Linked DNA regions of Mus musculus. The protein of the gene in region 2 purifies or fractionates together with the protein of the main gene of each other region. This does not show direct contact. Links are inferred from orthologs where the notes say so. Each region holds a gene or a part of one and is shown on either strand. Other genes may lie near its edges.

Region 1 (3,568 bases), on a different chromosome or scaffold from region 2:
CAAAGTCAAGAGGTAAAGGAAAAACAAAACCGTGAAGCTGGGCGTGGTGGCACATGCCTTTGATCCCAGCACTTGGGGGGCAGAGGCAGGCAGATCTCTTGAGATTGAGGCCAGCCTGGTCTACAGAGTGAGTTCCAGGACAGCCAGGGCTACACAGAGAAACCGTGTCTCAAAAAACAAACAAACAAAAAAACCTGATTACTAAAGGAAAAGAATGTACTATCCTGTGACAACTGGGCACACAAGAGAAAGGCTTGTGCCTTAGGAAGAATTAAGTCCAAACCCCACAGGCAACACATTCAAGGTTAGCTGCCTAAAACTAATTACAAATACATTCTAAGTTCAAATATACACTGAATATCTCTGAAAGAACACACGAGAAATTGCTCTAATTATCTCCAAGTCTATGCAATTTCTCACTAGATCAAAAAGCAATGAATAAAAAGTGTTTATTATAATGAACTCACAAATAAAAAAAAAGCGCCATTTAGCTGAACTAAAGGTAGCCACTCAAATGAGTGCTTGCCCTGACTCAAGCTCTATACAGAACATCTAGAAAGTTAAAATAGCATTCCACAGTGATTTTTTAATCTTCTTTTTTGAAATAAAACAATAGAATTTAATTTTCAAAATTAACTTTCAAAATGATTACTAAAAAGTTATTAAGATGAAAAATGATCACAGAGTTTTGGCAAACTACTAAAATAAGCTTCAGTTTCCTAAACTATAAAATTAGAGTCAAGAGGCAGGCTTATATGTCTAATGGTTTCCAGGCTGTGCTCAATGGCTGCTTTGGGGCAAAGAAGGCCCTTTTTAGCTTTCATTTTTCATTCATGTCAACATTTGCTTTGATAATTCAACTTCAAGTTTCAACATCCACTTCTCCATTGCTAGCTAGCTATGTGATCTCAAAAACCTTACATAACCCAAAGCCTACTGGGGATTTTATATTGGCAAAACTAGAAATAATGCCATCCTCACCAAAGGATCATGGTAAAGACTCAGAGGACATTTATCTGAAGCAGCAGTGTCTGAGCTTGTAGAAGACTTTCAATAATGGCAGTTAATCATTAAGCACTTCGAGGGTGATTCCATGCTCAATGTCAACTTAACTCAAGTGCATGCCAAGACCCATCCCCCACCCCTACTACTTACCTCTTAAAAGCTTACAGCCACCTTCCCTTCATTACCATCAACAGTTTCCAGGGCAATTTTTACATCCTGTAGCTTTTTAAATTTTTCTTTTGTTTTGTTTTGTTTTACACACTATATTTTGATCTTTCACAGACTCTAATACTTGTTCTCCACGAAAACACATGTAACTTAGACTTTAAAAAAATTGAAGAGCTAATTCAAAGTCTGGTCTAGATCTGTAATTGTCTTAATTCTATTACTTGTGACTATACTGAGGGGAGGTATTCAGAACGTTTTGTAGTTACTAATATTCTAGCACCTTTAAAAAATTTTATATTACAGATTAAGACCTTTTATCCATCATTCCTAAAAATCAACTAACTGCTATAAATACCCATCAGAATTTATCCAAGTTCATTAAAACAGCACACACACACAAACCCATCACGTATGGGGCTGGAGAGATAGATGGCTCGGCGGGTAAGAACACCGACTGTTCTTCTGAAGGTCCTGAGTTCAAATCCCAGAAACCACATGGTGGCTCACAACCATCTGTAATAAGACCTGACGCCCTCTTCTGGTGTGTCTGAAGACAGCTACAGTGTCCTTAGATATAAAATAAATCTTAAAAAAAAAATCACGGGCTGGTGAGATGGCTCAGTGGGTAGGAGCACCTGACTGCTCTTCCAAAGGTCCAGAGTTCAAATCCCAGCAACCACATGGTGGCTCACAACCATCCATAACAAGATCTGACTCCCTCTTCTGGTGTGTCTGAAGACAGCTACAGTGTACTTACATAAAATAATAAATAAATCTTTAAAAAAAAAAAAAAATCACGTGTGTTAAGTTTTAATTAGCATTAGAAATAACTGGTCAGACTTTTTGGTAAGGATAATTTTTATGCTTTTGTTTTGTTTTGTTTTTTCGAGACAGGGTTTCTCTGTGTAGCCTTGGCTGTCCTGGAACTCACTTTGTAGACCAGGCTGGCCTTGAACTCAGAAATCCGCTTGCCTCTGCCTCCCAAGTGCTGGGATTAAAGGCATGCGCCACCACCGCCCGGCATTTTTATGCTTTTTAACTTCCTAAATAGAATCGATTTTTTTTTGATGTCATGCAGACTAAGTCAAAGCTATTTCATCATTTCAAGTATATAAACATCTCTCTCAACTCTTGACTTTCATGAAAAAAACCCCTATTATCTGAAGTATCAAACGATGCTTGTTTGTTTTCTGGAGTGCTGTGAAAGGAAAGCAACTAATAAACGTTTACTTACAGGATTGTACTGAAGAGCAGAGACATAGGCTTGTACTGCTCCTTCCATGTCACCTGCTGCTACCAAGGCTGCTGCCAGGTTAATATAACCATCAATGAAATCAGGCTTCAGCCGCAAGGCATGTCGATAATGCTCGATTGCTTCCTGCAACTGCCCTCTTTCCTTGTACACATTTCCCAAATTCGAATAGGCTTCTGCTAGAAGGGGATTCTGTTTAATTGCCAAGGTGCTAAAATGAGCAGATCTGGAAAAATAAAAAGTGTTGATGCATGGATATGCATGTCAGAGAAAAGGAGGCATGGCTCATATGCAATGGAAAATCTTGTGCTATGGAACATTATCCTTTAACTAGCAAACAGCAGAAAAAAGTTTGAAAACTAAAACTTTCCTAAGGTTACAGTATCCACATTTCATATAAGAAAGCTGGTTCTTATGTATGAAAATTCTTATTAAAATCTACTACCAAACTGCCACATTGTATAACATCATTAAGATTAAAAATAAAAAGCATATGAGTCTCATTTTCCATTTGTTGGCAAGATTTAAAGACACAACCCTGTTTCAGAAAAAAAAAAGATTTAAAAACACACATCTTCATGTTAAATGTGCCAAAATGATAATTTACTAAGATATCCATAGCACAAATTCTTCTCTTTTCATTAATTCAATTAATTAGCTAAAAGCAACAACAATTTAATAAGGGTATTTCCAATCTGAGCTACATATGCCCCTCCTACCAGAGTCCCTCAAGCTGACAGGTCTGGATGCTCAGATGTACACTAAGAATAATTACCTGAAAAGAATATCCTCAAGTGACAAAATCTGGGGGAAAAGACCCTAGTCATACTGATGATATGTTCACCCCCGCAAAACGGGGGAAAACTAGCAACCAGGCATGTCAAAAGTGAACAAGAGCGCACATGTTGCGTTGGTGGCTCAGATGAAACCCAGCACTGGAAAACTCTGAAGTTCAGATATTTAATTAGCATTTTTAAGCTCAGCACCAAGAGGCAGGTTACCCCGGCATCTCCTACCTGTCCAGCCTTCGACACTGGAAGTGTATAGATGAAAGTAATAAAAGAACACCAGTATTGTCAGGCTCTTGTCTCCAGAGCTGCATGCAGTGTCTCTCAGCTGCCTCAAAATCTCCTGCCTGATATT
Region 2 (3,568 bases):
TTGTTAGGAAGAAATTTTATATTATCTATTAAATTTTAAATGTACATGTACCATGAACATGGAATTAAGCATTTTAGGACTTAGGTTAAAATATATATATACAGAAAAATATTTGCATAAAAGCTTGTTAATAAGCTGGGCGTGGTGGCACACACGCCTTTAATCCCAGCACTTGGGAGGCAGAGGCAGGCGGATTTCTGAGTTGGAGGCCAGCCTGGTCTACAGAGTGAGTTCCAGGACAGCCAGGGCTACACAGAGAAACCCTGTCTCAAAAAAAACAAAAAACAAAAAAAAAACCACAACAACAAAAAAAGCTTGTTAATAGTAAGAAGTAGCAAACAGCCTAACTTAATATAAATTTTATCATATATTGTGTATTTTGTATGTATTTATTATTCATATGCCTAAGATAAATCAATTAGGGGATTATATAGACATTTCTATTTATAAGATGTATGATTATAAAGGATTAAAAGTTTATGCTGCAGAACTTTGCACTATGTAGTTTAGATATGACACAATTACCAAAACATGCCTCTCATGCAGAAGACCCACATTGGGCTGTGAGAGTGCTTCCTCTTCTTAGAGAAGACTTGGGTTTCATTTCTAGCACCTACCTCAGGTCACTCACAATTCAGCTCCAAGGCCAGAGCCTGATACCTTTTTTGCCTCTATAGAAACCTGGCCACACTTAGCATATACTTAGACACAGACACACTTGAAATTAAGTCTTAAAATCTTTTAAGGGTCTGGAGAGATGGCTCAGGGGTTAAGAACAATGGCTGATTTTCTAGAGGGTCCTGGCTTGATTTCCAGCACCCACATAGATTCCTTATGTCCTTATGTAACATACTTCTGAATTCAATGAATATTCACAATAAAAATATTTTTAAATTCTAAGGCCCAATGAGATAACTCACTGGATAAAGGTGTCTGTACTGCCAAGCTCAGTTCCCTGACTTCTGTCTTGGGTAGTCACGAGATAAAGGAGAGCACCACCTCAGATACAGCACCCTCTGACATCCACGCACATGAGTGCTCCCATGAGTGCTCTTAAATAAGTAGTTAATAGTGCTACTTACAAAATGTACAGTAAGAGTTTTAATATATTTAGTAGAGATATGAATGTATGATAAAGAATAAACTTTAATAAAGATAATTGCCCATAATTATCCTTGAGGATTGTAAAAGAACACTTCAGTGATAGTCAAAAAAAAGAATTTACCTTTAAGTTTGAATTAAATTTTTAAAATTTATTTCTTGTTTTTTATTTATAATTAGAACCCATAATCTTTATATCTTGAGAGTGGGTTTTACTGTGTGACCTGAAACTCAAATCCTCCTGCTTCTACCTCCTAAAAACTACGCTGAAAGATGTGTGCCACCACTCCTGGCCTGGAGCCCATAAACATTTTAAATCATGTGAGTTTTAAAGTATTTAAACTAAAAGTTATTTTAAGAGTTATTTACAGGATCAGACATGATGGTCACACACAATTATGAGCTGTCATGAGATTTGGGAGTTAAACCTTTGTCCTCTGAAAGAGCAGCACATCCTTTCAACTGCTGAGCCTCTTCCCAGCCCTTGATTGCATGTGTGTCTGCATGGAGGTATGGCCACTATGCGGCATGTGTGTGTATACATGCTTTAATGTCTATGGGAATATAAAGATGGATGTATGTTCATGTCTTCATACTTTATATCCGAAAGTTTCATAGGTTAATCACAGCCACAACTTTCTCAGATTTGAAGAAGAGAACTTTTGGTTGTTGAACTTTTTTTTGGGGGGGGGGTCTGTTTGTGTGTGCATGTCTCTCTGTATATATATGTATGAGTCTTTGAACACACCTAGAGGTCAGATAACAACTTTTGTGAGTCATTGCTCTTCTTCCAGTGCGTGGGTCCTAGGGATCAAACTCTGGGAGCTAGGTTTGAAGAGGGATTCCTTTACCCACTGAGCCATCTCACAGGCCTTCTTTCTTTTTAAATATTTATTCTAAATAATATATCAAGTTAACTCTATTAAGAAATTAAATGGTATAAAATAACCAGAAGATAAGTTACTGAGACTTAGACAAATGTTGCTCTTGTCCAAGGTAATTTAACACAAATATTTACCTCTGACCGTATATTCAGGTCAGACTAAGCTGTTACTGGTGCATGACTTACAATTCTTTTTTCAGATGTGATAAAAGTACGTGTGCAGTTCTCTCATTAGAAGATTGTAAATTCCTTGCCTTTCCCCCCCCCCCCCAAGTTTTTAAGTTTGGGAAAAATTCTAATGATTTTTTCCTTGTATCTATATATAAAAGACTAATCTTGGCCTCCCCTCAAAGTGTCTGAACTCTAAAGGTCATTTAGGCCTTGCCAGTTTTGTTTAATTTAAGCTTTTGTTTGCACTGAGTAGATTTCAGAGTAGGTTCTCACCAGTTTGCTTGGTGGTTGTTGTTGTTGTTGTTGTTGTTCTTTTTTTTAAGATTTACTTTACTATATGTAAGTACACTGTAGCTGTCTTCAGACACACCAGAAGATCTCATTACATATGGTTGTGAGTCACCATGTGGTTGATGGGATTTGAACTCAGGACCTTTGGAAGAGCAGTCACTGCTCTTAACTGCTGAGCCATCTTGCGAGCCCAGTTTGCTTAGTTCTTACTGTCGGGTTTTTTCTTTATAGGCCTTGAAGCAGCAACAACAGAAGAAGAAGCAGCAGCAATGCAGACCAAGCATGTCCATCTCCAATCAACACCTCTCTCTCAAGACTGTCAAAGCAGCCAGTGACTCTGTACCTGCCAAACCTGGTAGGCAAACTGAGCATTCACCCTGTCCAATGGAATTTTTCCCCCAGCATATTTGTACTTTTGATATTATAAATTTTTTTACTGAATTTTTCATTTTTAAATTGCTATATTTATTAGCATAATCTTTCTGCTGCCACAGAATCCTAGAAAAAAAAAAAAGAAAATACTTTTATATGTAAAATTACCATGCACTTAATTCAAAATATAACAGTGAAATTTGGGTATTTCATTATTTCAAATTAATGAGAAACCCCTGGAAGCTTAAATTCATTATACGCACGAACGCACGCGTGCACCCGTTTTGTTTCCAAGGTCAAAGTGAATTCTTTGTCTCTGTGTGTACATGCAGGTTGGGGGTTCAGAGGATGGCCTCAGATGTCATTCCCCTGCACCATTCTGCTTCGGGTGGTTTTGTTTTGTACAGGGTCTCTCATTGGCCTGGAGCGTGTGGTTTACTCTAAACTGGCTGACTAAATAACCTCGGGAATTCTCCTATCTCCCTTTCTCAGTCCTGGGATTACACGTGTGCTGTAATGTGGTTCTTTGTGTGGTTTCTGAGGATCAGACTTAGGTCCTTATTTAATAAGAACTTTCTGCATTTAATCATCTATACAGATCTAAAGTGAACTCCTTATCAATGCTCTCATTTAAAATATGAAGATGAAGCTGGAGAAATGGTTCAGTCATTAAGAATGTGTACTGCTCTTGCAGAGGGCTTGGTATTAGTGCCCACCATCTACATGGTGGCTCTCAAACACTTAACTCTA

The links. The genes of interacting proteins can lie anywhere in the genome.
Region 1: the proteins of Asxl2 (region 2) and Ogt purify together in Homo sapiens (affinity purification with mass spectrometry; 3 studies listed by BioGRID and IntAct, with this or other methods). This does not show direct contact. The link is inferred for Mus musculus from reciprocal best matches to the Homo sapiens genes ASXL2 and OGT.

The regions. Positions count from the first base shown.
Region 1 is NC_000086.7:101,643,030-101,646,597, reverse strand, and holds part of Ogt (UDP-N-acetylglucosamine--peptide N-acetylglucosaminyltransferase 110 kDa subunit), read right to left. Parts: coding exon 3,442-3,568; intron 2,652-3,441; coding exon 2,408-2,651; intron 1-2,407. UniProt on the Homo sapiens protein: Catalyzes the transfer of a single N-acetylglucosamine from UDP-GlcNAc to a serine or threonine residue in cytoplasmic and nuclear proteins resulting in their modification with a beta-linked N-acetylglucosamine (O-GlcNAc).
Region 2 is NC_000078.6:3,471,813-3,475,380, forward strand, and holds part of Asxl2 (putative Polycomb group protein ASXL2), read left to right. Parts: intron 1-2,677; coding exon 2,678-2,801; intron 2,802-3,568.